Linked DNA regions of Solanum lycopersicum. The protein of the gene in region 3 binds, or shares a complex with, the protein of the main gene of each other region. Links are inferred from orthologs where the notes say so. Each region holds a gene or a part of one and is shown on either strand. Other genes may lie near its edges.

The links. Proteins that work in one complex are often made in the same cells at the same time.
Region 1: suppressor of mec-8 and unc-52 protein homolog 2 (region 3) and U1 small nuclear ribonucleoprotein 70 kDa share a complex: the UniProt entries of both Arabidopsis thaliana proteins name them as parts of the spliceosome. The link is inferred for Solanum lycopersicum from reciprocal best matches to the Arabidopsis thaliana genes SMU2 and U1-70K.
Region 2: suppressor of mec-8 and unc-52 protein homolog 2 (region 3) and serine/arginine-rich splicing factor SR34A share a complex: the UniProt entries of both Arabidopsis thaliana proteins name them as parts of the spliceosome. The link is inferred for Solanum lycopersicum from reciprocal best matches to the Arabidopsis thaliana genes SMU2 and SR34a.
Region 4: suppressor of mec-8 and unc-52 protein homolog 2 (region 3) and serine/arginine-rich splicing factor RS2Z32 share a complex: the UniProt entries of both Arabidopsis thaliana proteins name them as parts of the spliceosome. The link is inferred for Solanum lycopersicum from reciprocal best matches to the Arabidopsis thaliana genes SMU2 and RS2Z32.

The regions. Positions count from the first base shown.
Region 1 is NC_090801.1:64,632,315-64,640,198, reverse strand, and holds the start of U1 small nuclear ribonucleoprotein 70 kDa, read left to right. Parts: upstream 1-2,655; 5' UTR 2,656-3,046; coding exon 3,047-3,142; intron 3,143-3,918; coding exon 3,919-4,033; intron 4,034-4,119; coding exon 4,120-4,199; intron 4,200-4,918; coding exon 4,919-4,994; intron 4,995-5,074; coding exon 5,075-5,139; intron 5,140-5,253; coding exon 5,254-5,316; intron 5,317-6,791; coding exon 6,792-6,873; intron 6,874-6,947; coding exon 6,948-7,095; intron 7,096-7,539; coding exon 7,540-7,608; intron 7,609-7,789; coding exon 7,790-7,884. Other genes in the region: proline-rich receptor-like protein kinase PERK5, read left to right, coding at 151-389, 559-635, 1,114-1,258, 1,388-1,549, 1,743-1,976. UniProt on the Arabidopsis thaliana protein: Mediates the splicing of pre-mRNA by binding to the loop I region of U1-snRNA.
Region 2 is NC_090802.1:49,073,381-49,081,017, reverse strand, and holds the start of serine/arginine-rich splicing factor SR34A, read left to right. Parts: upstream 1-2,408; 5' UTR 2,409-2,592; intron 2,593-4,065; 5' UTR 4,066-4,432; intron 4,433-4,576; 5' UTR 4,577-4,607; coding exon 4,608-4,694; intron 4,695-5,436; coding exon 5,437-5,502; intron 5,503-5,656; coding exon 5,657-5,731; intron 5,732-5,834; coding exon 5,835-5,955; intron 5,956-6,070; coding exon 6,071-6,117; intron 6,118-6,197; coding exon 6,198-6,255; intron 6,256-6,942; coding exon 6,943-6,992; intron 6,993-7,308; coding exon 7,309-7,365; intron 7,366-7,637. UniProt on the Arabidopsis thaliana protein: Probably involved in intron recognition and spliceosome assembly.
Region 3 is NC_090806.1:9,683,829-9,691,484, forward strand, and holds suppressor of mec-8 and unc-52 protein homolog 2, read left to right. Parts: upstream 1-2,859; 5' UTR 2,860-3,075; coding exon 3,076-3,125; intron 3,126-3,222; coding exon 3,223-3,363; intron 3,364-3,446; coding exon 3,447-3,496; intron 3,497-3,605; coding exon 3,606-3,723; intron 3,724-4,079; coding exon 4,080-4,128; intron 4,129-4,227; coding exon 4,228-4,317; intron 4,318-4,832; coding exon 4,833-4,901; intron 4,902-4,989; coding exon 4,990-5,113; intron 5,114-5,704; coding exon 5,705-6,045; intron 6,046-6,280; coding exon 6,281-6,655; intron 6,656-6,851; coding exon 6,852-7,121; 3' UTR 7,122-7,333; downstream 7,334-7,656. UniProt on the Arabidopsis thaliana protein: Auxiliary spliceosomal protein involved in splicing of specific pre-mRNAs that affect multiple aspects of development.
Region 4 is NC_090804.1:67,963,531-67,971,253, reverse strand, and holds serine/arginine-rich splicing factor RS2Z32, read right to left. Parts: upstream 5,230-7,723; 5' UTR 5,122-5,229; intron 4,238-5,121; 5' UTR 4,233-4,237; coding exon 4,126-4,232; intron 3,708-4,125; exon of another isoform or gene 3,476-3,707; coding exon 3,436-3,475; intron 3,288-3,435; coding exon 3,192-3,287; intron 2,765-3,191; coding exon 2,568-2,764; intron 2,471-2,567; coding exon 2,381-2,470; intron 1,955-2,380; coding exon 1,564-1,954; 3' UTR 1,333-1,563; downstream 1-1,332. UniProt on the Arabidopsis thaliana protein: Probably involved in intron recognition and spliceosome assembly.

The DNA.
Region 1 (7,884 bases), on a different chromosome or scaffold from region 3:
GGATTAGTAACCTATAGGATAAGACAAATTATGTCTTACTGCAAGTGAGGAAATCCACCAAGTAATAACATAAAAATTCTTCAATATATATGAGTTGGAACTGTTGAAAATGCTCTCCATGCTAATAGTTAAAACTAAATTTGTTTGCAGGGAAGGGACATCGTGTTATGGATTGGGGAACAAGGCTTAAAATTGCATTGGGATCAGCCAAAGGATTAGCTTACCTCCATGAAGATTGTATACAATTTTTTCTATTCACAATGCTCCCCTTTTCTTTTACTCTTTGTTTCTCTTTCTCAACCTTGTTTCTACACACAGGCCATCCTAAAATTATCCACCGTGATATAAAGGCTGCAAACATTCTACTTGAGGACAACTTTGAAGCTAAGGTAAAATTATTGTAGGTCATTATTGTCTCGTGAATTTGTTTTTATGTATTTTGCACATGTCAGGAAACTTATGATGTTGGTTTTCAACATAAATCTCCACTTTTATTAGAAGCGTTGCTTAATAATCATGATAACCTTGGGAATTACAAGAGTGTTTCTGGTTTCTCAGGTTGCAGATTTTGGATTGGCTAAGCTTTCTTCTGACAACCTTACTCATGTCTCCACCCGTGTTATGGGAACTTTCGGGTGAGTCGAGCATAGCATTTTTCTACTTTTTGAGAGGTAAAAGAAATACTAGGTGAAGGTTAGTGCTTATCTTTAGAAGTGACATACAATCTTTTATCTTTAAATGTTTCCAGACTTACTGAAAGATCTTAATTGGTCGAAATCCAATCATGTACCATGTTATCAATCTAAAAGGCCTAGAAATTTGATAATTCTGCAAAATTTAGTATGCCCTGAAAATCTGTTTGATGTTTTTGTTTTGGGGTTCTAAAGGTCTCTAATTTTCAGAGACTTTTCATATGCTCAGTCATAGTAGCTTAGGCAAGAGATATCCACAGTGAAGGCAAAAAATAAACCACTGTTTAACATACATGAAAAATGTTTTAGAGGTCATTTTAACTTTTTCTGACCTCTTGGTTAAAGTAATAAATGCGGATGCTTGATTCTGGAAGAAATTAGGCATCAGTAATGAAAAAGCCGTCTTATTTTTATACTACAGGTACATGGCTCCTGAATATGCATCAAGTGGCAAGCTAACAGACAGATCAGATGTCTTTTCATTTGGAATTGTGCTTTTGGAACTCATAACTGGGAAGCGACCTATTGATCCTAGCAATATTATGGAAGACAGTTTAGTAGAATGGGTTCGCTCTTGATCTCAAGTTCTCATATTATCATTCATTGCATCAACAATACCTAGATTTTAACATGTATTTAGACACCAATCTTTGTATATGCATACCCTTATTAGCCTAATATATGAATATGAACAGGCTAGGCCGCTTCTTAAAACTGCCTTGGAAGAGGGAAAATATGACGAATTGGTAGGTGCTCCTTTTGAAGGAAACAATGTTCCAAAAGAGCTGCATCGGCTAGTAGTCTGTGCTGCTGCTAGCACTCGTTATTCTGCTAAAAGACGTCCAAAGATGACTCAGGTATGTCATCTTCTAGATTAGAGCTATCAAACTAGACCCTCCTTTGTTAAGCCGGTTGGTACATGGTTTTGTGGTTTACCTTTACCTATTACTTTGAACTTATATCTTATACCACTGCAATTAGACTCATGGTATATGTTCCTTTCTCTTCTACTTTCTGGAGACAATTAGTGATGCACATTCTAATGAACAGATTATGCGAGCTTTGGATGGCGATTCATCTTTGGAGGACATGAGCGATGGTGCAAAGACTGATACCTACGATACTAGTGCATACAACGCTGACATGATCAAGTTTAGGGAAATGATATCAAACCAAGAATTCAATAGCAGTGAATATGGAGGGACAAGTGACTATGGACTCAACCCTTCCTCCTCGAGCGGTGATTCCAGTGAGCTTGATCATCATCAAAGAAGTAGAGGATGAATAGCTAACTAGCTGAAAACTTGAAGCTTGACAGGATGAATAGCTAACACTTTGACTTCTTCCCTAGAACTGATACAATTAATGGATCTACTCTTTCGTGATTTTTGTCTAGTAAATATACAAAATCAAAGTCATAGCAGCAAAATATGCTTATGTATATATTACATTACATTATATATAGCAGAGTATCATTTTTGTCTCAATATTCTGCACATTATTGTACATTTTGACTATATATATAAATTTTTATACAATATAATATTTGATTGTACATACCGTGGCAGTGGAACTCGATTGGCGTACAAGACATTTAACAACTTTCGTTAATAAAATCCACTTTTGACCCATCAGTTTGATGGAAAGAATAGTTTTAAGTCGAAATATAATTTAAAAATAAATATGATCTTTTTCGAATAGTTTAGGATATATTTATCCCTTTTCATAAAATAAATAAAAATATCAAAATATATTGAACTGAAGGGTTAACAAATAAAAACAGTTTCGTACTAAAACTTGTCAAGAATTAAATGACATTCGTTTGAACACATATTACTTAATATGGATTAGAGAAAATATTAATTACATAAATTATGTCTTTCTTTTGAGTTGATTTATCCTTAAAATTTAAAAGTCTCATTGACTTTATAAAATTTCGTATTTTAAGACATAGAAAAGTATGTATTTATCATTGTTCATAGTTATTGATTTATTCATTCTAATTCATTTCTTTGCTTTTTTTTTCTAGTTAATTTTAAAAGAAAATTTATCTTACTTTTGGATAATTTTTTTCGTTATTTACATAACATATTTAAAAGATTAAATGATATTTCGTATTTTTAGTTAAAAAAAAATATTTCTAAAATTTGGTATAAATGAACTCGCCAGTGCTGGAGTACGATCTCTGATGGAGTCTTTATATAAGCCGCTTCTCTGCGCCGGATAAACCCTTGTTTCTATTTTGTTCTTCGTGCCGCCTCAGCTATCTTCTCCATCTCTCCAATCGTCCGATTAACGTAACTCCACTTCTTGTGGCGGCGATTCGCATCTAGCAAAAACCCTAGTCGGCTTCAATGGGAGACTTCAACGATGCCTTCATGCGGAACAACCCTAACGTTCAGGCCCGTGCAAAGGCCCAGAATCGCGCTAATGTCATGCAACTCAAGCTGGTAAGTTATAACCCTCGATCTGTTGTCTTTGTTGTTTACTGGCTTAGATTGTTAAACTAGGCCTTTTTTTTGTGTTAGTGTTTTTTGATTGTTTAGGTTTTCCGTAGGTTCTTTCTTGATGAGTATTAGGTTATAAATTTAGATGATTTTATGTCCTGTTGCTACAATTTGTTTGGTCTTTCGTTATTCAGCAAAGGAAAAATTAGAGTAGAAGTGAAGTACCGATATAGACTATACCGACTTGTTGGGATTATGGTCTAGTCAGTTGTTGTTGGTAAACTCATATTAAGTCCCTCTCTTAATTTGGTTGGGGATTCTCAATGTCGATTTATTTATAATCTTAGGTACCTATAATCTTTCCCAAAATATTAATTGTATGATACTGGGGGAAACAGACCTGGATGGAGTGGAATTGATGTGGATTCATATGTCAACCCCCAAGTTGTTGGTTTCTTGATGTCTTGGTGATTTGTTATTATGGGTAGTGAGTAAGGTTTTGTGGTTTAATTCTTGTTTCGTGATATTTTAGAACTCGTCCAGTTCCAACTCAAGGTTCATTATTTTTGTTTTTTGTGAAATGAGATTCGAAATTGTCTAAGATGCATATTTGTTGTGCTTTTATGACATCTAAATATACTGTGTGATTAGATAGTTGGCTTAGAATAACAGTAGAACTATGTTGTCAGGCTGCTGCACTATTGGATATCCTTTTCTTTGTTCTTCACTGGTGCTACAAGTTTGTGTACTAACTTTGTTAATATACTTAATATATGCAGATTGGTCAAAGTCATCCAACTGGGTTGACTGCTAATCTTCTGAAGTTGTTTGAGCCCCGACCACCTTTGGAGTACAAACCACCCCCTGAGAAGAGAAAATGCCCTTCATATACTGGTTAACATTCTTCATGGATTGAGTCATTTCTTGTTCCATCAGTCATCTCGTATAATTCTTAGATATATTCTCATTTCTCTTTTTAGGGATGGCACAATTTGTTAGTAACTTCGCTCAACCTGGTGATCCAGAATATGCTCCACCAATCCCTGAGGTTGAAACCCCGGTAAGACTTCATTTTATGTACTGCAAATTTTTTTTCTGATCTTTTTGGGTAAGCCGATATATTTAATTGAGGGTTGCATATTCATTCTTCTCCCTTCTTCTTCTCTTAACAGTGATATTAATTTCATGAATATGATGTTTGCTTGATTATTTATGTGTGCTCTGCCATTTCATGTGCTGCTGAATTGTTTTCTATTTCGAGATGAATGAATCTTGAATGTCCAGCAAATGACACTAAAACATTGTGTTGTTGTTGAATTATTGGTAATATCATGTCTTGTTCTTTATCTTTTTCTTTAGGGTACTTCTTTAGTTCTGTGTTTTATGTTTGTCTTCACTGAATAATGCAAAGATGTCCTGTGTAATGGGAAGGTGCTATTATCATCTCTCCAAGTTGTAGAGCTGTTGTAACCATTGGATCTCATCTTAGAAGATACTGTTGTCTCCCCAAGTCAGTGGAGCTGAAACTGTTGTAAATTGGTAGTGCATGTAGTTAGAGTAGTGCATTATAATTACTATTTAACTTGAGATGTGGGTTATCTAATCCAACTCATTTGGGATTGAGACAGTTATATCCTTTGGTATCCAACCGGTTCTGAAGAGTTACTTTTTCCAGAAAAGTATAATAAGATGTAACATAAGCTGTGCAATTACATACTATGGTGAATCTGTGTATATTTTTTCTTTATGCTCATAGATTGCTTTTGGTACTGCATGCAGACTGAACGAAGAGCTAGGATCCACAAGATACGGCTGGAGGAGGGTGCTAAAAAGGCTGCTGAGGAGCTTGAAAAATGTATCAAGTGCTTAAATTTTCTGAATATTTGAGAGACATTTATGGGAAAAATGGAATAATTTTTTATTTCTGCTGGACAGATGATCCTAGCAGCGACCCAAATGCTACCGGGGATCCATACAAGACACTATTTGTTGCAAGACTTGTGAGTGAAGATCTTTTTAGATCATTTTTGCTGCTGTGAATATAATCTTTTTCTTTTTTTTTGACAATGGAATATCTCCTTAATTTTGTTGATTGTCTTTTACATGTTTTTCAGAATTATGAGACAACAGAAAGCAGAGTCAAACGCGAATTTGAGGCTTATGGTCCAATCAAGCGGGTAGGTATTATAGAGCATCCCTTTTGGGGCTCAGGTTACTGGCTTTTGGTTGGTAAGATGTGTACTTTTATGGTGGCATGGTACTTCCTCCGTTTCTCAAATTGATATTTCCACAACTTATTATTTCTTAAAGCATAGAACATCTTACGATTTTAGCAGCTTCTCTTTATGTACTTCATAAAAAAAATTAGCATCTTATTAAAACAGATTTTGATAACCAAAATTTAAAGAACTGTGGGGTCGATACACTTTCTGAAATGAGGGTGGATTACCTAAAAGGAAGTGTCACTCATTACTCTTCTAAGTTTCAAACTTCCACTTAAAGGTGCATGCGATTCACATTCTGTGTATAAACTTATAGCATGGATTGCACTTCAGTATTTTGATAAGAACTTATTGAATTCGGCAGTTGTCTGTTAAATAATAAACTGATTAGCTCTCGACTTTCTTAGTGCTTCAGATCATCAAAAAACACGTTTTATCCGGAGAACTTTTTTTTCAATTGTATCTTTGGGTGCATCTCTTCAGGCTGTAGTTAAGAAATGGATTGTTTTTTAAACTGCTAGCACTCTTCCCTGGTGTTCGAGGTGCATACTGCTCTCTGAAAATGGGTGATTTTTTTTGTGAAGTTACTAGTTTTTCTTTGCTTTGTAAAATAAAGGTCAGATTGCCAGTATGCCCTTCCTCAGGTAACAGTACTCCAATTATTGAGTATCAGTTTGATGCCTTTATCCTCTTATCCTGGTTTGGATATCATTAGTTTCAAGTACTATTCATTCTGGTATTCCTTTAGTTTCTAGAACCACAAAGGTAAAGATGTTCAACTCCTAGGTATTTTCCTGGTAAGGGTAAAACTTAATTATCTGGTAGCTTTATGTTTTTTTGAGTTGCCAAACATAACCATTCAATTTCCAAGTCCGAGCTACATTACATGAAACAAAGCTGAACACTTAGATGAGCAGAGCAATGATGCAATATATCTTTGGCCTCTTATTCCAAGCAACACCGGAGATTGATACTTGCCTTTACTTGGTAAAAAAACTGTTGGGAGTATCGACCTTTTCTCTTCTTTACTCTTCTTACATCCCATCTATGCTGCTAAGATTTTACTTTTGGATTCAAAGGCTATCAAAAAAGTTTCAAGCATTTCAGGAGACACCTGGTATTTGACTATACTTCTATAATAATTTATTTTATTTTAAAATGTTCCCTGGTAAGGGGAGTTAGAATATATTGCAAACATAAGGCCACAGTTCTTGTGCAACTCTAGCAGTGATGGTGAAGCATCTCGCCTGGGAGCTCTTTGATTCAAAGGTGAGCACGGCTAATTAGGCATAGTGCCTGCCGTGCCATTAGGAGCTTACTATACCTAATCGCGTTGAGTAGATAAAAAACATTAACTTTTTTGACCGCTGCATCGAAAATGATTATAATGTTATTAGTAGTGTCAATTCCATAAATTGTTTGAGTTTCAGGTTCGCTTGGTTATGGACAAGACAAACAATAAACCCAGGGGTTATGCTTTCATTGAGTATGTGCATACACGGGATATGAAAGGTTTCTCTAAACTCCTGTTCTTCTGTCTTTTCGAAGTCTCACTTCCATCTCTAATTCTTTTGGATATAATTCAGCTGCGTATAAACAAGCTGATGGAAAGAAGATTGATAATAGAAGAGTGCTGGTTGATGTAGAACGTGGTAGAACAGTCCCCAATTGGCGTCCCCGCAGACTTGGTGGTGGACTTGGAACAACAAGAGTTGGAAATGAAGATGCTACTAGGTATTGCATGAACTTGTCATATGTGCATTGCATAGTGCTATAACGGACATTGATCTCAGCTCTTCTTTAGTGCAATAATGGTTCCTGTAGTGTCTATGGAGTAAGAACGCTATTTTGATAGATACAGCAAGACATGTTTGCTTGTAGTTGACATGAACTGCTTTTTTGAATTTCAACTCATCTTTTGGGTTATATGGATGCTTCAGTTTGTGTTTTTTTCCCTATAAAGGACTTGCTGCTCTGAGCATTTATGTATGACGTCTTGCTTAGAAGTTGAATTTATTATTGTTTGGCATTCAGTTTGATAATTACTCGTAAAATGTTCTTAAAAGTAGTTTTTTTTTTGTGTAGTTGCCCTCTTGGTATGATTGTAAAAGTGAAAAGCTTAAATTCTTGGATGGAATTTTAATTATTGAAGACTCTAATACTCCTTTTATTTTTCAGAGAGGTGGTTCAGCCTGGAAGGGCAGCATCTCGCTCTGAGGAGCCAAGAGCACGAGATGACAGGGATAGGTAACAACCTAGGCATTTATAGCTTATGCTTGCTTTGAGTTTCTTTCTCCCAATTTGACTCCCAGACAAATTTCTACTTCTCCAAGGATGAGTTGTCTGATTTACTACTCTGTTTAGTTTAAATGTGAGTTAATACTATAATGTGTTTCACGTCTAATACAATTATGAATTCCCATATTAGCAGGGATCGGGAGAAGTCCCGTGAAAGGGTGCGAGATAAGGACAGAGAGAAATCTCGTGAGCGTTCTCATGACAGGCCAAGGGAACGTGAAAGAG
Region 2 (7,637 bases), on a different chromosome or scaffold from region 3:
GTTTGATTAGTATAGTGAGTATTGAGTAGTAAACTAATAATTTAACTAAGTTTGGTTAGCAAGATGATCTAATTATTATTGTTTTTTTTTTGTTTTTGTTTAATCGATTCTGAGTAGAGATGTGTGTAGAAGATTTTGGTTAGTAAGTGTTTAATAGTACACTAATTTGCTTCTGAGGTGTTTAGCTTGTATTAGTAATGATGGTATTAATTGTGCTATTATTAATTACGTTGAAATCATTCTTATACATAATTATTCAATCTAGTTGTGTTTTTAAAAAACATACTTACATAAGTTAATTCGCAAATATAGTGAATATATGTGGAAAATTTTATTAGTTTAAGACCTAATTATGTGTATTTTCGTGAGTTTTTAAAATTGTTATTTGTGCTAAATTTCAATATTCAAATCATGTAATTTGGCGCATTTAAATATACGTATTTCGGATAATGAGATCAATTTTTTATGTAATTTGTTTTAGATACATTCTATCCAACTAGATGTACATATAGCTAGGATACATTAATTCTCTCATTCTTCCTTTTCTATCTCGCTTGACTCTCTCCTCTCTCGCTCGCCCTTCTTACTCGTCACTCTTTTCATGTATCCGTATTTTATAGTGAATGTTATTTATACTTTGATATAAAAGTATTAATTGCTGTGATCCTATATAATTATTTTAAACTTTAGAAAAAAAATAGTAAGTATGATAAGAATGTTTGTATATATTTTTTTTATTCAATCGTTAATCCCATGATTTGTCACATAGTTGTACAAGACATAATAAAATAAATGGATTATTGGGTAGTGTATATAAGAATAAAGTTGAATAAAGTGCATTAGTAGTGGTAACATATATTACTAACGTTGATATTAGTTATGACTAAGACCATTTACTAATATATTGTTTATTTTGATGTACTAAAAATAATATGAATCGCATGATTTCTAAAAGTAATTATTTGGTTACACAAATACCGTCAATAATACAATGAAAAGAATGTGTAAAAAATTTTGAGAGACAATTATATATTTAACCATGCTAGTACATTCATCATAAATTCTTGCGTAACTGACACAATTCATTATGTACTCTGTCTGTCCAACGATAGTTGTGTACTATTGACTTGGCACACCTATAAAGAAACTATAAATAGAAAGACAATTTTACTATACCACCCTTTGAATATAACAATGTCTTGAAAAAATGTTATAGGAAAATAATTACAATTGATAATAAGGATAACTTAAAAACTATATGTAAAATGATTCAAGGATTATATAAAGTGGACAAGTATCGCGACATCTATTTTTAGTACACTGGACAAGATTGAAGGAAGAAATTATTAATTATGCATAACATATTACTAAATAAAGTACACAAAAAGTGAAAATTATACCCAAACAAGATATTTAATATACACAAAGCTAATTCATGCATTATTTTTATAATACATCCTATCAAACAACGTGTGTATTGGTCGATTCAATTCAATTTTATGTATTATCAATTTGATTTTATCGATTTTAGATATGCTAAAACCAACTTCGTTTTACGATTTATCAGTTTTGATCCTTAACGGCTGAGTATTCGATTTAACCAATAAAAAATGCTTGTAAAACAAATATGACTTCTTTAACAATAATGTAACTTGTTAAATGCTCATAAAATATAAACAATAACAACTAACATGAAAAGATTATACAAGTGTAATACAAAGAGAAGTTAAGAGGAAAGAAATTTACTTTAGATTTTGACGTTTTGTATAATGTGAAGTTGTCCATTCAAAATCACTCTCAAGAGTAAATAGAATGCAAAATGACAAAGATAGTAACTATTCTCTTGTCCTAATTATTTGTCCACGTTTTATTTTATAGCTATTCCTAATTACTTATCCAGTTTGACAAATCAAGAATGAACATTTTTTTTTATCTATACCTCAATGAAATGACTAATTAATTTGAAAAGTGTAATTTTTTTTTATCCACTTCATAATTAATAGGGGTAAAATGATAAATTCATTACGTCATGAATTATTTTCTTAATATGTGTGTCATTTTTAAACTGGACAACTAAATATTGACCGAGAGAGTACTAACTAGTGATGCATTGATATTAATATTTAATATTTTATGTACGATAAAATAGTAAATTACTGTAGTCTTATGAGTTATTAATTTATCAAATAATCCAATATTCAAAAATCAAAATTAATCCGATAAATCAATATTTTTTTTTATTATACCATTAGAAAACTGTCAATCTAATAAATAACACAATAATAACCAATCAATAATATATTTTTTAATTTTAATTTATCGATCGATTTGATTTTTGCACAGAGAAAACTGAGATTCCAAATGGGAACTTGTGTAAATAAATCAAAGCTGAAGGGTTAAAAAGAGCTAAAATAAAAATCAAGGGAACAGATCCTACTCTGTTGGGTTTTATAACCAGAAAAAAGCCCTAAAATTAAGAACTCTCTGGAAGAAGTGCAGCACAGCACCAGGAGAGAGAACCCGACAAGAACCGGAGAAGAAGTTGAACATCAATTTCATCTGAATTTCGCCGAGCCCTAATTGAAATTCCAGGTAATATTTAGAAGATTTTTTTCTCACAGCTCTGTTCTAAGATAAGGGCACATTTGTTAATTTCTAAGAAGGGTCGAGGGTGGAAGAAACCCTAGTTACGCATCTGTAAAAATCTTACCGAATTTAGCTATTTCTGTATTTTCTGGATGTTCTGTGTTGCGAATTGATCGTTTTCTGTTTGTGGCAGAAATGGGTTCATTTCGTAATCCCAGGGTTTGTTTTAGCCTGGGTGTTGCTTCTCATTGTTCGTTGGCTTTTGCTAGAAAAGATCGAACTTTTATGGGTCATATTTGTGATGTTTCTTGTGTTACATAACAGTGTGATAGTTTTTTTTTTATCAGTGAAATTCTTACTTCAATAGCGTTTTTCCCTTCAGAGAGCTGCAACCATCATATCTGGAAGAAAATACTAGCAATAGTGGAATAAAAAGATGAATTTCTAATCGTGTAATAAGAAAATTCGGTATTCTTGGTATGGCAGAGAATATTTTATGGAATAGTTTTTTTACTCATTGAATCGTTCTCCAATGTTTATTTCCTCAATGGTTGAAAATTCACCACCAAAAGGGTGAAAACAACTTACGTCATTTTCCATTACGAATATTCTGAATCTCACTCTGTATCACTTGATTCATCCAACACATAAGGTTCGTTGTCAACTTTAATATACAAATATCTCAGCAAAATACCATCCTCCATCTTTTATGATTGCCGGGGTGGAGCCACATTACAGTTGACGGGTTTGGTAGGTTTGGCCCACATCATGTACTTTATATTCAAATTTTCTTTTAATATGTATGCATTATTTATCTAGCCTTGGTGGACAGAGTTACCGGTACCTGTTACTTGTTGCTGGTGGGGGTGGCAGTTATCCGTGGAATTAGTCGAGGTGCGAGAAAGCTGGCCAGGACACCATGTTCATCAAAAAGAAAATAAATTTATCCCGATTCCATTCTCTTCATTCTCAAAATAAATAAATAATTTATCTAGAACCCTTTTAGAAGATGCGGATGCCTTTTGTAAAATTCAGAATCTATAAATTCAATCCTAGCGCGTTTAATGATCGCCATATGATCCTGTTTTTAATCCAACCATATATTGAAAAACTATTTGGACGATGATCTGCCAAAGTAAATTCTTTTTTGCTGAAAATATGCTGCTTCATATCCAATTCGCATCTTTGTAGTCTCCACAGTTCAAAGTTCAAACAATGTTTTACTGACCATTGGTAACCTAAAAATCTTTTTCTTTTTGAGAATTGGTGACTTAGAGATCTTATCGAATCTTAGGTTAAGGGAAATAACATCAGTTGCACTAAACTGGTTTTATGTTAAACTTAAACAGGAAAGGTATATATTGCATGCCTTGTAGGATAATTTCTCAGTGATCTTTAAAATAATTAAGAAAAGGGAAAATGCATTAGTATGTCGCGATCTCACCTCATCTTATGACATAAATGCTTTCTTTATGATAGATTTCAAGCGCTTGGAACAAAAATGAGCTTTGGAATCATACATAGGGATGTATTTGGGGGAGTGGGACAAGTCAGGGTGGAGTATTTGGGTTTTATGTATAGTTGGAGGTTCTTCCTCACTCTCAGAAGAGCTATCATCTGCAAAAATTTTGAGTGGATGAGGAGATCAAATATTAGTTCAAATAATTTTTGCTTGTGGAGCATCTTGGAGCATATGAGCAATGGAGCTTGTGGAGCATTAGCTTAACTTGGGATATTTCTCTTGGTTTCATAATTTTTCTGTTTGAATCTATAATTTTGGAGCATCATGGAGCATTTGAGCAATGGAGCTTGTGGAGTACAGCTCAATTGAAGGATTGCTCTCTTGGTTTGCTTCAGAATTTTTCTGCTCGATTCTGTTATCATCAAGTCAAATACAGAATGATATAAATTTATCCATAATTGTTTAATTATTTCTCTTCAGTGTTTAGTGGAATCATGAAAATTGTTTATAAGTTACATCTGTTTGCAGTTTTCTGTGAATCCTCCCTTCATTGCTGAGAATGAGTGGCCGCTTTTCACGCTCAATCTACGTTGGCAACCTACCAGCAGATATAAAGGAACTGGAAGTTGAAGATCTGTTCTACAAGGTCTGTCACATTCACTTATTTAAACACTTAGCTGCAAAGGCTTATTTTCTTGTGGAGAAGTTAGTTATTATCAATCGTAATTATCTCCTAGGGCTCTGGATTCAACCTTCAATGCATAAGTTATACTTGTAAACAACAAAAAAACAACAGCCTCGCATCATTATAAAAAAAAAAACAAACAGCCTCACCCGAGATTATATTGCAGATGAATGCATTCCTAGATATGCTTGTTCCCTGAGTTTCATTACAATGCCATCTGTATAATGGATTTTTTTGATTTGCCTCTTATATGTGAAATTTTAGAACAAGAAAGCCTAAGTGTAGTTTCATAAGAGAATCTGTTGCAGTACTAGTATCAATATTAGGTTGTGGTTGAAAACAAAGTTTGATGGTGAGGGAGGCTTCTTCTCTGGTATCTTGCACTGCATGCTCCTTGCCTCTTATTTTTCCTATTTTAGATTCGGTCTTTCTTCCATACTTGCTACTCTAGGCTTTAGGCAGTGGTGCTCAATACCACTAGTATTCTGTTTACCCGATTGAGGAGAGTAAACAGTTGGGAGGCATCGATTTGGAAGCATTCAGCCTTGAAATGTAGAGTTGGTTTAGCATACATTCTTGCAGACACTATATACTGAGATTCCTTTTAAAAGAAACACTGTATCCTAAGGTTTGTTGTAAAAGAAACACTGTATCCTAAGCTTAAAAAGTGCTTACTGTTTATAAATTCTCTCCTGTATTGCAGTATGGTCGTATATTGGACATTGAGTTGAAGATTCCACCTCGCCCTCCTTGCTACTGTTTTGTGGAGGTATATTTATTTAGCATATTTACATGTATATAGTTTTCTGTAGTTTGAAGTTTGACCTTCTGCTGTTGGTTGCTTTTTTTTTTGCCTTTCTTATTGTCAACTGCTGCTTCTGTGTGCTGATTTATCTCTAATTTCCCTTCTCCGTATTCTTTAGTTTGAAAGTTCTCGAGATGCTGAAGATGCCATCAGGGGTAGGGATGGCTACAACTTTGATGGCTGTAGGCTGAGGGTAAGAACAATTTCCATCTTGATTCTCTCATATTCATAGATACACAGATCTATGTAGGACGTATGAGCTTCCATGTGGTTGACATTTTAGATGCATGATATAGGTTGAGCTTGCTCATGGAGGAAGAGGGCCATCATCTTCAAGTGATCGCAGAGGCAGTTATGGCAGCGGTGGCGGTGGAGGTGGAGGGCGCCATGGCATTTCTCGGCATTCTGATTACCGAGGTTCCACTATAACTTATTTGAATGTCTTGTGAAGTTCTTTGTCTTGATTGCTGTAGATGTAATTGTCCCTGATCATATAGATGTCTCTTGACTTTTTCTTGTCATCTATATACAGTTATTATTCGAGGTCTTCCATCTTCTGCTTCTTGGCAAGATTTGAAGGTAAGTGAAGTGGGCAGGATATCTCCCTATCTTGGTTTGTATCTGTAGCAATTGCAGTAACCTGGTGGAAAATATGTCAGGATCATATGCGGAAAGCTGGTGATGTGTGCTTTGCTGAGGTTTCTCGTGACAGTGAAGGTATGACCTAGTCTTACATCTTGAAGACATATCTAATAGGATCCTTTTACTTGTGAATTTTAAACAATACTCTAGAATACTGGAATCGTGGTGAAAAAACTGCATGTATGTTAAGATCAGAAAATTTCCCAAGAATTTAAGTGCAACTAGAGTGTGGTGTTTTTATCAAGGAGGGATGGAGGACAACTAATTATACTTGCAATTTAAGAAAACAAAGTGCTACAGAGAGACCAGAATTGATTATGTGAATAGAAGAATTGGAAAATATAAATCAGTGCTCAGAGTAAGAATTCCACCATTTGAAGACCATAGTAAATTTCTAATTCAAATGCATATTAGCTCTAATTTCTTCAGATTTAGTGTGGAGTTCTCTTAATGTTAAATTTTGATTTCTTATTCCTAATTACTATGTTATTCATTCATAAAATGGTTCTTTAATGATTAATATATCACTTTGCCAACTCTAGTAGTCTTTCCCTCTTTGGGACAGTGCACGGCTGTAATAAGGTGTACATCTTAGCACATTGGCGCTTCTTAGCAAAGCTCTGAGACGGTTAGGTTGAGACCATGCTTCAATTCGCTTGTCTTTATTGTGCCTTGAGCAAACGTTTGAGAAAAGCTGGAGTTCTGTTCTTGTGCTAACTCTGTGATTATGTCTGTAATTCTAAATTTTCTTGTCCATATCAGGAACCTTTGGCTTGGTGGACTACACAAATTATGAAGACATGAAATATGCTGTAAGTTTCTTATCTGCCTCATCATCTAATGGGTTTTAAACTCAATATTGCTATCTTCTTTCCATTGAGGAGTTCGACCCTATATCATGATGGAGTTTACTGAATTTTTGAGTTCCTTGGTTCATTAACCATTGGAAGGATGGTTATTTGTCGTTATTTTTATTAATATCCTCTGCAAGTAATTCTTGTGTTTTGCTAGTTCCATTATTCATGAACGTTTAATCTGCAACTCCCTTGATGGTGGTTGTTTTTTATTTCATTTATCCCTTTGGAGAAGGACCAAGCTTGTGGTTTAACATGTTTTCTTTTTGTTCAGATAAGAAAACTTGATGATACTGAGTTCAGGAATCCTTGGACAAGAACCTACATCCGGGTATTGCTTATTTTTTTTATTTACACTAGATTTTTTTTGTTTCTTCGTTCAATCCGAATTCTCGGAAAGACTTTAATTTTATGTCGATGCTTAATCTCTCAGCATATTCATGGGGTATGGTGGTGATTTCCTGATTTGATGGTTTATAATACTCTCCTAGTTCAACTTGTCTGTCTTACTATCATTTTAGTCAGTTCTAAAAAGAATGTCTCTTTTCTAATTTTTAACTCTTTGATTTAAACATCCAACTTGGCTTGTTGAAGGCCACAGAT
Region 3 (7,656 bases):
CTTTAGATCCTTTTACAATTAATTAATATCATATTGTTCTATTTTTTTAAATATTCTAGATTGATCCACAAGCCAGGAAAATGAATGCTAAGAAATTGCCAATGTTTAAGGATTGGGAAGAAATCTTTGGTAAGGATAGAGCAACATGAGAGTTCGCTGAAGGGCCCCTAGAGCTACTGAAGAAATTCAAAAGAGTCAAGCTCCACAACATTCTAATGACATGAGTTTGGGATTTCCTATCGATGTTGATCTTGATGATGATGAAGAAGAAGAAGAAGAAGAAGAAAATGTTTACCATAGCTCTAAAGTTGGTACTAAAGAAGCTGAAAATGCCACTGGACAAGGTGGATTTGCTACAGTTGAAGATTTTACCGAACCTAGTTCATTTACTAGAGCTGAAAATGTCACTGGACCTAGCATATTTAATGAAGGAGAAAATGTTGCTGGTTCTGAAAATGAACATGTTGGATACCGAAAAAGTCATAAATAAGGTGAGTATTCAAAAAGATCATTTTCTAATGTTAACGAGAAAGAGAAAAGCAAGAAAAGGAAAAAATAGTAGAGGATGATAGTGAGACATTTCTTAAGGGTATGATGGAAGTTATGAAAAACTTTACTGAAAGTCAAGATAAAAGAATTAGTGCTTTGATTGAAAAGATGGGGGATCGTAATCGATCTAATGTTCGTGGTCAAGTTTATTCTATTCTTGAATCCCCTGTATTTGAGTTGTGCATCACAGAGCAACGTATAAAAGCTGCAATGATCCTCTGTAATGACGAAAAAAAGATGGAATTATTTTTACGTATAGGTGAACATGATCGTCCGACAATGATGTGGATGGCTGTCCATGATAAACTTTGAAGTACTGTGAACTTGTGATATAAGTGGCTACACTAGTTTAGTAATTTTTGCTTGAAATCACTTCAAAGTGTGACAACAGTCGCTTTTTTGGGCATCTCTAATTATTAATGTGCACATGAGCATGTTAAATCTTTTTGGGTAACTAAAGTTTTATCAAAATATTTCAACTTTTGTGTCAATGCTAAGCACAAATGTAATTATATAGTTGTTATTACAACTCTTCAAATTCTAGTGTAGTCATTTACTTTTGAGATTCTGAAATGCAATTATATAGCTGCTATGACAGTTTTCTAATCTGTCTTGTATTTCTGTGTCTAGTCTCTGTTTTTCATTGTTAATTTCTTTATGAGTTAATGAATGTGTGTGATAGAAGAGGTGAAGAAGTTCGTTTCTATTTGTTTGAACAGTGTGGCAGATGATTTAGGCGGAATATGGAAACTATAAATTTCATCTCATTTTGGAAGGTTTGATACTGCATCTGACCATAGAATCAATTTCGTATTTGCTATTTGGACACCTTATTTTTAATGATAAGTCCCATTGTGTCAGAGATAATGGTTTCATACTTTATGTCCCTCTAGCTTTGTTTTGGTTCACACAGAACTGGATATAAGATGTTATAACCCCGTGAAATACAAAGAACAGAATTCCAATCGAAGGCTCTACAACTACTTTGCAAGTCAAAATTTGGATATAACCTATTTCACCCTTCATTTTTTCAAAAGTCTAGTATCAGGCTTAATAAATCAATGGTTGCTGACTTTAAGCCATGTGCAGTGACTACTTAGAAGATTCATCATCAGCAATACGGTGATGAATAATTGGTGAAGATTCTCCACAAATAACATAACATTGAATCAATAAAACCACATTTACTTCATCAAAAAAAAAATCAATAGAACCACATTTGTCCAGATTCCGACAGTCCGTAGGTGGCATCGTGGTGCAGCTGCTGAAGGAAGATGGGGAAATCTAACCAAATGTGAGGTTACGGAGTGCGTGACGAACCGTCGTATTCATAACGATCCGTCCTGCTAGTTCGTCATGAAGGTCAGAGAAGTAGTCCAGTACCCAAATTCCAAGAGTTTAAGTGTTTTGGAACGGAGACCCTCGACGGACCGTTGTGCTTGTGACGATCCGTCATATCTGTCGTTGAGGATAATGAAGAGAGCAGCAGAAGAAATTGAACAAGTATGGGATGACGGAGTCCATGACGGTCCATCGTGACCACGACGATCCGTCGCGAGGTTCGTCGACCCAGCCGCGTTTTGACAGATTTCCAGCAAATAGAGTCCTTATGTAATTAGTTTTTTTTTTTATATAAATTGTTCGAAAAATCTCCTTTGTAAAGTTTAAGTGCAATGGTAATCGTAATCAAAAAGGAATTGTCACAAAAAGTTACCAGAAGACCATGCAGCCTTTCTCTTTTTCGTTTTTCCTTTTTAAGAAAAAGACAATGGATCATATACAAGAGTTTGATATATCAACAAATAAAAAAATATAAATAAGAGGACATTACTTCCTCTATTTGAGACGTATGGTGGCAAAATTGTGAAGATGTTTGACATCTTCTTCTTCTTGTTCTTTTTAAATCTTATTTTAATGTAGTAACAATTTTTTAATTTTATATTAGAAAAAGAAGAAGAATAGGAATAAATAATGTTTTAGCAAAGAAATCTTTTTTGATGTTTTAACAAAGAACCTTGTTGCAAAGAAAGTGTAAAAATAAATAAAGTGTAAAGGGTATTTTTGTAAACATACATTTTTTAAATAGAAATTATGCAAGATTTGTTTTTTCTAATACATCAAACCAAACAGTGTATAAAAAATAATAATTGCATAACTAATGCAAGCATTACTAATACACCCTATTTTGCATTATTCTTATACACTCTATCAAACGACCCCTAAGTGTATTAGATGGACATTATATATATATATATATATATATATATATATATATATATATATAACACCATTTTCTTATCGATTAAATAAAAAACGCGCTCATTAGATTGTCAAAATCAATTAGTTAAAAATTGATAGTGTATATCTTATTGATTTGATTATCTTCACAAATCGAATAATGATAAATCGAAACAAAAAGTAGGAAGTTAGGGTTATTTTAGTCTTTTGGGGATGTTTATATGAGGTTGATTGTCTTCTTCGCTCGTTTCACCCTAATCTGGAATTTTTGGGAATAAGGTCTCAATCATGTCTTCTTCAAAGCGAAATCACAAGGAAAAGATTGTTCGTCGCAACAAGTTTGTTTCTCTCTTTCATCTTCGATTATGTAAATCTCAATAGATCCTTCTTTAATTTGCTGAAAAATGGGGGATTTTTCTATTGTTTTTGTTACAGAGAAGAGAAGGTTGAAGAACCGGAGTTACCAAAGTACAGAGACAGAGCTAAAGAAAGGAGAGAAGATCAAAATCCTGATTATGAACTCACTGAATTTGGTGGTTTTCATGCTGTTGCTCCTCCCGGGAATATTGATCTCCTGTAAAAAAAAAAAAAACGAAACACCCATTTCTCTTTTTCTTCGTTTAATTTTGTTCTAACTTTCTTGTTTTGAACTTTTACAGCTCTGCTGATGCTCAGAAATTATCTATTGAGAAGAGCAAGTATCTTGGAGGTTCGTATAGTCTGTGGTTGTACAAGAATATTTTTTAGTTTCAGTTCAGCAGTTTTCTTGATATATGGCTTCAGCTAATCAATCCTTGTTTTGGCTGATTGTAAATTAGGTGATGTGGAACATACACATTTGGTTAAAGGGTTAGATTATGCTTTGCTTCACAAAGTGAGAAGTGAAATAGATAAGAAGCCAGAAACTGGAGATGAGGCGTTAGAAGGAAAAGCTAGGTAAGTACTAGGTTACTTTATTGCTTAGTTGTATGTATGACTCATTTACTTCAACCCCAGGAATAAGTAACTGACTCTCCAAGAGCCTGTTAGTAATTTTCAGCTAATAAAGTTGATCCATGTGTAGCTCCCATTGGATAAGACTGTAGCTTTAGATAGGGAGTTCTTTTGTAGATGCCCCTTTATATGTTCTTCCATAGATTACCCTGATTTAGGGACACTCTGCTAACATCTTTTTGTGTATATGCAAAGTAATGAGCATATTTAGTGAATTGTTCTTTTGAACACCATGTCTAAGAAGCAGTGCTGCTGGAAACTGTTCGATTAACTATTCTATTTATCCCTTTTGCTAATAGAGGTGTAAAGGAAGATCATCAATTGTCATTCCGTACTGCAACTGCCAAGGTGCATTAACTCTTTCAATTGATTTCGTCTCAAATATTTCTAGTTGTTGCTTGGTGTAGTTATGTTTCAATAGAGTGACTAGTAAGTTTGGGGTTTCAGTCAGTATACCAATGGATAATCAAGCCTCAGACTGTTATAAAGACCAACGAAATGTTTCTTCCTGGACGGATGGCTTTTATTTTTAATATGGTATGTTTCCCTTTTATACTTCCTCTGCTCTTATGTGTTGTGTATGCTAGGTTCTACTTGCCTGAAAAGGAATTATTTCACAGACCATTAGTTGAGTCCTCTTATAGTGCGCTTAGACTTGAGATGTAATAGTAAACAAAATTTTGTACTTGTGATAGGTAGCTGAGAAGCTTCTATTTCTATATTGGATCATACTTTTTTTTTTTGGGCAAAACTGTAGTTAACTGTTGATGTCACGCTAGAGTTTAGCTTGTATGGCGGGGGTGAATAGTCTTTTCCTTCTGAAGGCCATTCTTTTTCTTGGAGGAAGGTGGAAAGGGTGTTGTCGGAAATTAGATGCTAGAATCGTTGAAGTTGATTTATTTTACTACTAAAATGTTTGGTGATCAGATGTGTCATATGGAATATGGATAGTGAAGAAGATGTGAAGATTTTGTTCACTTGCGGTTACTGTGTGTATGTTTTCTTTCACGGTCTCTCTTTTTCTTCACTTATGGTTGATGTGTATATTGCAGGATAGTGGATACTCCAATGATATTCCTACAACTCTACACAGAAGCAAAGCTGACTGTCCAGTCCTCGAGGTATTTCCCTTTTCCATACTGCATTACTGTCAGGCAATTTCTTCCTGAATTTTCCATCTGAATGGGTTATCTCATCTATATTTTTCAGGAAATGGTTACAGTCAGTGTTGATGGTTCTGTTCTAGACCGAATAGCTAAAATCATGTCCTATCTCCGTCTTGGATCATCAGGAAAAGTTCTCAAAAAGAAGAAGAAGGAAAAAGATAGCAAAGGTGCTTAGCGTTCGTGCCTTCTAAACCTTACTGTATTTTCTGAAAGTAATTAGAGTCACAATGTGATGTAGATTCTTATATATCCAGTTTGTTTTATGGGAACCTTTTCTCTAATTTCCGACTGGTGTTGTTGCATCCTTGGTAGGCCTATTAATATTATTGCTTACGAAAGTGAGTTTGGGCCTGGTTTCCTATAAAGAAGTACAATAGAATGTTTTGTAGCCGGGATAGAATGTGGGTTATTCTTCTTTGAAACCGGGGCACAGGGTGTAATTGAGTGTGAAGGTAGTTGATAACTAGATATAGTATGATTCTGTATTTCCATGGAGACTAAAAAAGAGCATTTTGGTTCTCTGGAGTCCTTATTATGTGTTTCCAACACTAAGTATACCTTGCTTCTTTTTCCTTTTTTCTGGGCTTTTGGATCTTCTTCTGTCACCTGTACATTAATGAAGAGCTGGGGGAGGGGGTCCCTTTTGCCCTTTTCTTGTTCTTTTGTTGGTGGTGAGTTATCTCTTCTCTTCATTGATAAGGAGCTGCACTTCTATATCCTTGTTCTGTGTTCTGACACAAGTTTTCAATATTGTACAGGGAAGACAGTTATATCCAATGGTTATGACGAAGTATTGAAGTCGGATGCATCAAAGAGCCAAATTGATAAAGAAACTGTGCATCCATCTGCACAACTTCCTAAAAAGAACCATTCAGAAAGAAGAGAGGTTCAGGGACCTGTTGTTGCTAGACCTGAAGAAGAAGATATCTTCATAGGGGAAGGCGTTGACTACTCCGTTCCTGCTGGAGATATGGGTCAAAGCCCTGTATCGGAGGACATGGAAGAATCTCCTCGAAACAAAGAGAGAACCTCATATTTCAGTGAACCTGCCTATGGCCCAGTACCTCCATCTGAGCCTTCTCATGATTGGCAATACACGGTGAGTCAGTTTTGAGTTGTAAGGCATTAGATCATTCCTGTTTAAAATGCTTAACAATATTTTATGACAAAATCTGCCTAGATTCTTTTTCCTACATTTATACGAAGAAAGGAAGAAATTGGATGCCCTCCATCGTATTTGTCGACTTTACTTTATTTACTCCCTTAATTAGATTTTACTATGTGTTGCAACTATTACTCATCTTTTGATTGTTGAATATGTTTGATCTGTCCAGAATGGATATGATGCAGCGCAAGCACAAGCGGTAGCTGGTGTTTACCAACCAGAGTGGCAAGATTATCAGTATCCTGAACAGGTGGCTTATCCTGAGCAATATCTCCAGCAGAATTATGATATGCAAGCTGATGTTGACGGTCTTCAGGATCCACAGTTTATGACTCAAGAAGAAAAGGATAGAGGCCTAGGGTCAGTGTTCAAGAGGGATGATCAGAGGCTTCTGCAATTGAGAGAGAGAGATGCCAGAGAGAAGGATCCTAACTTTATTTCTGAAAGCTATTCGGAGTGCTATCCTGGTTACCAAGAGTACAATCGTGAGGTTGTTGACAGTGATGATGAAGCTGATTTGTCAAAAATGGACATGGGTGGACGCGTAAGTGATACTCTGTTCTTGCTGAAGATTATGCCATTTCTTAGTTCACCCCTTCCCCCGTACTTTTGAAACCTACAAAATGTTGGTCCCTGTAAAGGAAACTTCAATTGCCTCACATAACTGAAAATAATTACATTTTTTAAAATTGTACGAAGATACAACTCTAATTTTTCTTTGATGTTGTGATGCATTGTAGGCAAAGGGAAGGCTTCATCGTTGGGACTTTGAGACAGAAGAGGAGTGGGCGACATACAATGAGCAGAAGGAAGCAATGCCGAAAGCTGCATTCCAGTTTGGAGTGAAGATGCAGGATGGTAGGAAGACGAGGAAACAAAACAAAGACCAGAAGCTTACGAATGAGCTGCATAAGATAAACAAAATACTCACCAGAAAGAAGATGGAGAAAGACAAAGGTGAAGCACTTGAAGACGGTGAAATACAACCTGGAAAGAAGCAGCGTGTATGAACAAACAGACAGATAAAACTTTGATCTTTTTGTTTTTTTAGATCTTCCTCTACATTTTACTGTTCAGAATATCTTGAATTTGAATTAGTACTATGTCTTGATTTAGTGTTCAGAATATCGTGTCTTGATTTAGTGTTCAGAATATCGTGCTAGTATAAACACGTATCGCTTTATTTATTTTAAATCTGAAATATAAATGTTATTTTATAAAATACTATAACATATATGGAAATTTTTTATGATGATTGAAGTGGATTCTAATTATACAAGTTAATTTTTGTAAAATATAAGGGGTTGTTTGTAGTTGATTAGAGTATATCAATATTATTAATGTAGAGACTAGTTATTAGTGAATGAATGTATTATTACTTCCTTATCCTTATTAGAAGTGAGAGTTGAGGTTTACAGTTATGTGAGGCAAATGAAGTCGTAAGTTTGATAGTGTTTAGGTTTTCAGCTCTAGATTTCCTTGATTTTGAAATTTATGTTGTTTTAAAAAATTTCTTGCTACATTTGTACATGCATGGTTTAAATT
Region 4 (7,723 bases), on a different chromosome or scaffold from region 3:
TGACATGCAAAGACGAAGCTAGAGTACTAGCTACAAGCTCGATAAAATTCAATAGCTTTGGCCAAAATTTTTGCATTAGTGTTAAGAATTCCACTAACATGAATATATGATTCATCCAAAACCAAATAAATTATTTCTTCCTTCATATTCAAAAACTATAAACTTCAAATTCTGAATTCACCACGTCTCATGACAATACTCTCGAGCATTTTGAAGTATTGTCATGGGATGATGATTATCATTAGACTATTTTGCTTTTGGTGCCTTTTCATGTATGAATTGGGAATCATGTGTGTTGATTATTTACTACTATTAGTACTAAATTTTGTTTTAGTGATCTACATGTTGAGCAACTTATATGTATTGAATAGCTTTACATTGTATATATAATTTATACAATAACTTCATAATACATCAATAATATAGCAAAAATTATGTACTGGTGTTTACTTCCTTGAATAGTTGTACCTACATTTGTAATGACATATCGTTAGGATTTTTATGAATTCTAAATTCTAGAATAGCCACATCAAGTTTTAGTAATTAGGGTTCGAATTGAACTTTTGACATATTTAGTGACACTTTCATAGTACAAATCCCCCCTCTCGATCCTATATTAGTTTCTTCGTATCACTTTCTTTATATATTGATGAGAATCTCCTTAGTGAAAATCCAAGCTTCCGAGCAAGGACAGCTAGTTAGTTGCCTTGCCCCTATGAAGCAGCTTCTCCTATAACAACAAACAGTTCTATTCAAGGATTATGGTTTACAAATTGTATTAGCACATATTTGACTATACATAACCAAATTCCAAATACTAACAGCTTCTCTCAGAGTTCTTTGATATTCACAACACAACATCCACACTGATATTCAAAACAAATTTACGAGTACTATGTCATGAATTTCGACATGATTTTTCCCCAGACTGGTTAACATATTATTACCAGAAGTCATTGTAATCATGCGATCTGGTATCTGTCACTCACGACACCAGATCGAAAGACCAAAAGCCAGCTGCACAAATAACATACACACCCCTGTATATACCAGTCTATTGTAATCATTCTGGTATCTGCCACTCCCCACACCAGATCAAAAGATATCAAAAGACAGCAACACAAATAACACACACAACTACAAGTCTTACCGTATATCCAATTGATCTGCCAGATGCATCTCAAATTCACGACAGTTGCTGCGTTTCAACTTCACAATTGGTGAATGCTTTGGTACAGTATGTAGGAAGTGACATACATAGTTACATCACTTTCAAATAGAGTTCCGAGGATACCAACCAAACTCAAGCTGAAACACATAACACCAAGCAAGTTTTTAATGTAATCTCATAAATAGAACACAGCATGTGCAAGGCAGTTTCAAATTCCGGTCATTCTAAGAAAAATCAATTACATGGTTTCCGAATATAGGGAAAAAGTACTATAAAATCAAAGTGCAAGGATGAGATAATTGTGAGTCAAACATTCACTTGCCACACTGACAGTATCATATGCATAGTTGTGAGTCAAACATTCACTTGCCACAATGTATCATATGCACATTTTAGGGTGACTCACTGCCCCTTGGAGAACCCCTTGGAGAACCATGATTTTCATAGTCACCTGTTGGGCTACCGTCTTCCACTGGGCTTCTGTCCTCCCTATGGATGGGGCTATTGCTGCGACTACGGCCATTTTCTTCAACAGGGCTAATATCTCCGCGTTCATCCATTCTAACATCATCTTTAGGGCTCCTGCTGCGGTCAGAACCATTGGTTGCCCTATCATCCCTTGGTGATGGTGTACCTCTCTCTACTGGACTTCTTTCATCAGGTGAAAGGCTGTGCTTCCTTCCCTTTGATGGAGGTGGTGATGACCTATGATGGCGAGGACTCCTTGATCTCTTTTCTTCACGCTCAATGCTACGGTCCCTCTTCACAGGAGACCTGGATCGGCTGCAAAGAAATCAAACACAATATATGTTAATAATTTGTTTATTTGTATAGATAGATTAAGTGACGGGAACAAATATGTATGTTTTAATCCCACAAAGGCCAGTTAGTTGAGATAAACAGAATCTGTTAGCACTTAAAATGACACTTTCTAGCTCTAACAATACAAGCTTTCATATGTTATCCACATAATACATCTATGAAAAGACAAATTCAATTACTTATCCACAGTATTATTTCAACTTCACAGCCATGATTGACAATGTTAAGGACTGTGTACACTCTACCCTCCCCAACCCCACTTTGTGGGGTTTCACTGGATATGTCCTTGTAACCATGAGCGGCAATGCCAATTCAGAATCTCAACACATAAGAAGTTCTCAATGAAGCTAAATGGAGCGCATTCCAAAAAGGAGCAAAGGGGGAGACCTGTAGCTACGACCTCTGCTGTAACTGCGGCTGCGGCTGCGGCTTCTTCCACGCCGAGGAGATGGTGAGCGGGAATAACTTCGGTCACGTCTGTCATTCAAAAACAAATAATAACCTTTAATCATTAAAGTATACTAGAACATCAAAAAATACACAGGGTGAAATAAGGTGGCAACTAGGAAAATACTTCAATTTCTTGGGGCTATTCTGACAGTTCCTTTCTATATGACCTCGGTCTCCACAGCGGTAACACTTGTTCTTCCAGTCCCCAGCTTTACAATCTCGAGCCCAATGTCCATCAATTCCACAATTAAAGCAACGACCAGTACCTGGAGGAGGACCTCTGCCACCAAACTCTCGAGATCCACCTGGACCACGAGGCACCTGCGATGCAAGTAAACTCCAACATAAAAAGGACAGCTTTTTGTTTAACCAATCTGAAGCATTAGATAGATTAAGGCGTGCATAACTCCTCAAAATACCAAGAAAACAAATCCTTGAAGCAACTTAACTACTTCAACGAAAGTGATAAACCAAGATCTTCTTTCTCCCCTCTGTGACATGCCAATTGTAGAGTAATATACTTATATTGAGAACTGAAGCATCATCTCGGAAATAATCGAGTTCCACCATATTTTCCCACTCATTGGGCATAAAGCCTGAAATTCTTTTTGGTTTTTCTTTTTTTGCATTGATATTCAAAATGCACATGTCCATGTGAGTGTAATTTGCTAGAGTTGCAAAAATAAAACATAAAGATACTATGCATATTGCAGTTACGAACACATATCAAATCCAAACTTTTACTCACCCCTTTGGCGAACTCCACGATAACACGACTTCCATCAACATCTCGCCCATTTAGGCCGTATCTTGCATCATCGGCATCTCGAGGATCACTAAACTCCTAGATTTAGCAGTATATGAAGAAAAGAAAGAAGCTTAAATCACAAATATATGAAACAAGGATTAGATGATCACCCTACAACCCTAAGAAATATCATTAATGAAGAAGTGAACAGAAAAGGAAAAAAAGAAGAAGAAGAAAGGCGTACCACAAAAGCATAGTCACGCTTCATATCCACATCACGTACTCTGCGTAAATGGGTTCCAGAAACAGTAAGGCCATCAAGTCATAAGAACCAAAGGGTTGATACTTCGCCCCTCAAAGATGAACTAAACACCACTTTTTGGATTGTGCCATTTCCATCAAAAAAATACGCAATAACATTATAGAAAGAATCGCCACACTCCGCAAGAATGGGAACCAATTCATCAAGGGCAACCTCCCACCACAAACCTCCGGATTGGGCAAAAACATAGAAACCTTCATAAACATTATTCGAGTTAAAAACACCAAGACACGGGGTGTTGCTCTCACATTTTCTACAAATTTTAAAAAAATAAAACAAAGGTCACTGTAACGACTAGTGTGTCTCATCTCCACCCCCAAAGAACAAAGACTGTGAACTACTAGAAGCAACATCATTTCTAAAAAATGATCACAATAAAATAATCACCAAGTACAGCAATCAATCAATCAACACCTAATACCAGACAAGTTGAGATCAACCATATGAATCTTTTATATCTATTCTACTCTACTTAGGCGTATTTCATTCCACTAACAAAATTAAACAACTAAAAGCTCAATCTTTATCCTCTTGGAATCTCAATATTCAATTACTCAAATTTCAATAACTTTCCGATCACTGCATAAAAGTAATGAATGGTTAAAAAATTACCTCCCATATCTGCTAAAGACGTCCTCCAAGTCTCGAGATCGCGTCCGGGAAGACAAATGTCCAACATATAGGCGTGTGCCACCATACCTGTCATCATACCGCGGCATCTTCTCTGAAACAAACTACCCAATTAGCTCCTCTCCTAATTATACTATCTCTTAACATAAATTTGTTTTTAGCTCATATACTTTTTTTTCCAAATGAATTCAGCACAAATGAAAGCTCAATAAAATATCAAGCGAAATCAGAACTAAAAAAATGCCTAACGAATGAACTATCCGAGTCAAAAAGGAACATATAATACAAAATTTCATGATAGCGCATCTTCCCGGATGAAACTACCCAATTAGCTCCTTTCCCAAATTATATGATCTCTTAATCATTAAAAATAGCTGTATTACTTTTTTCCAATGAATTTAACACAAATGCCAGCTCAATAAAACATCAAACGAAACTACAAAAAACACATATAATACAAAATCTCATCAAACCACTACATCTTCACTGAAAGTAACTACCAAATTAGCCCCTTTCCCATATTATATGATCTCTTGAACATAAAAATAACTCCTTTACTATTTTCCAATCACTTTAGCACAAAATGCCAGCTCAATATACATCAAACAAAACTAAAACCAAAAAAGGCATCTTGAATGAATTTTCAAAGTCAAAAAGCACATACATATTACAAATGCACATCATACCAAAAGAAACTACCCAATTAGCACGTATATAATAAAAACAGCTCAATTACATTTTTTCAAATGAATTTAGCACAAACGCCATATCTATATAACATAAAACAAAACTAGTAACAAAAAAAACACCTCTTTACGGAATATTCCGAGTCAAAAAAACACAAAATTTCATCCAAATTACTCGGAATTAATACCAATTTCTAGATGAATTATGCACAGGCACATATATTATGATGAAGAAAGCTATTTTTATCAAAAATATATGAGAAAAAAGGGTTTTGAATCGCAAATCGCTTACCTGAAAATTGAAAAAGGCACAGAAATGTAAGAACCCTAGATCCAATTCGTTCAAAAGAGTATAGCACAGTGGTCTCTCTCTGATTTATATACTAAAGTTTGGGCCTCAACAGCTATGGGCTTATTGTTATGTTGTTTTCATGGAGTGGGCTTCTAACTCTAAGCCCATTTGAGTTCTCTCCCAAATGTGAAACCTCCTCCTCTTTTTTCTTCTCTCGGGCGGAAATCGGAATGCACGAATATTCGATTTTGATGTATTCATCTAATCTATATCGAAATTAAGAAATTACAAGTTTATCGTTTATTTAGTTGTTGTTGGATATAGAGAAGGTATACGCTTTTCCACCTGAATCCTTTTCTGCGCAGTCTACCGTTTCTGATAACAATTCATAAGAAAGAGAACGAAAGCAAAATAGAATGAAAAGAAAAGAGATAGAGTTCAAACGTTTTCCATCACAGGTACATAAGAAATGTTTGAATTCTTTTCCCAGTGGAAATTCCATAAAGTGCGAGCCAAGATCCATTATACGAAAAACAAAAGCATTATGAGTAAACACACGAAAATCTTGATGTATTTCTCACTCAAACTCAGACAATAGAAAATTATAGTACTATTTTGTTTATATATATAAACTAAGAATCTGACTAATTGAACGTCAAACATTTATTAAGGATAGCTTCTCACTATACACGTGATTGACAATCTCTTTTATAAAACGCATGAATTAACACGTGACACTAAAACAATTAAAAAAAAAAAGAATATATCTGCAAATTATATGTGCGCCTTCCTTCACTTTATTCATGTATATCGATTTGTATTTATTATATTTGGTACTATTGTAGCTATTTAAAAGCTTTTGTCAATGTTCATTTTTCTCATCTCATTTATTTTTGTGATATTCAATTATTCTTCTAAGCGAAAATTGCATAATATGAATGAGAATTTTTAATCGTTGTATTGATTAAGTGTCTTTCGTATAAATAACGTTATATATAATCTATTCTAAAACCATACATTTTATCTCAAAAAAATTGAATTAGAAAACATAATAAATCAAAAATGTTAAAAATTCATAATTCAGATTTACGAAATCAATAAATTAACCATATATTACACAACAACATCATATTAATATTCAGTCACACAATTGAGACTTGAAGGATATATATTATAATATAAATAAAGATTACTTATCCACTTATGATAAAAATATTATTTCGAATACATCCTCTCTCGACTCAATCATATATTATAACATCTAAAATGCGAAAAAAAAAAAACTCAAACACGACCCCCCCTCCCCCCCCACAAATTACGACCCGAATAAGTCAATCGGGTTGAATTTTTTTTCGACTGAAAATCAAGTTACGCCATATATATACACACACAAATCTCCGTATTTCATTTTCTCTACCGACGTTAGTTTCATAAATCAAAAATCTCTTCTTTAACATTGAATAATTCTGTGCTTCGAATCATATATTATACTGTAGTTCCTTACCAAATCGATATCTGTAATCGTTCTTCGTTGCTAATCGTTCTCTGTTTTTTTTTTCCCAATTTTTTCCATATCTTTTTTTGTTTTTTTTCGTCTCAATTTGCTTTGGTAATACATATAAGGGTGCTGCTTTGTTCGAGGTTGATTGTTTCTCTGTTCCTTGAAGGCTCAAGCTGTTCAATTTGTTCAGATTTTGGTTAGTTTCTTTTTTGTTGCTCAAATTTATTAGAAAAAGCCCCTTTTTTTGTGAGATTAGAAAGTATGATTGATGTAGGCAAAGTTGCAGCTGTAGTTCCATGTCTAGCTAGTTTTTTTCCCCATTTTTTTGGACCTATAAACATGGTGAATGGACAAATCCGTAATTTGACATTTTGTAAGTGTTTGTGGTGGTAAATGCTTATTGGATGTGTTAAGGGTGTTGGGGATTTTGTGCAAGTGGGATGAAGACCACTTATGATATGGGTAGAAGGAGGATATTTGCTGTTTAACTGATTTGTTGTATCAGTATATGCTGGATGATATATGAGCTCTTTAGTTGTTAGATAATGACTTCAACTTGTTTGGTACCGAGTCGTAAATTGTTGTTGAAGGTTGACTTGCAAATAGTCAAGATGATATTTAAGGAGTACATTATTTGTGGGATTGGAACCTGCACATGTAATAGTTAGGATCCAAAGCATACTGGACCTCAACTTGTTTTGTACTGAGGCATAGTTGTTATTGTTGTTGAAGGTGGTCTTGCAAATAGGATTGGAACCTGCTCATGTAATGATGGGTAGGTGGAGTTGCAATAATATGCTGCAATTCTAGTTCTCTTTTGTTTTTTTGAAGTATTTTTGAGTGAGGGGTGAGCCCTTAAATAGTTGGGATAGAAACGTAGAAACCACTTTTGTAGGTTTGGAATCCTGCAGCTGTGACATAGATAGGTGGAGATGTAATGATTAGGCTGCAGTTTTAGTCCTGGTTAAATTCTTTCTTGCATAAAATTTGCTGGAGTAAGGGATGGGCACTTAAATAGTTGGGATAGAAGTGTAGAAAAGGATCCTTTTGTGGGATTTGAACCACCTATGAATGTAAGAAGGTGGAGTTGTAACCATTAGG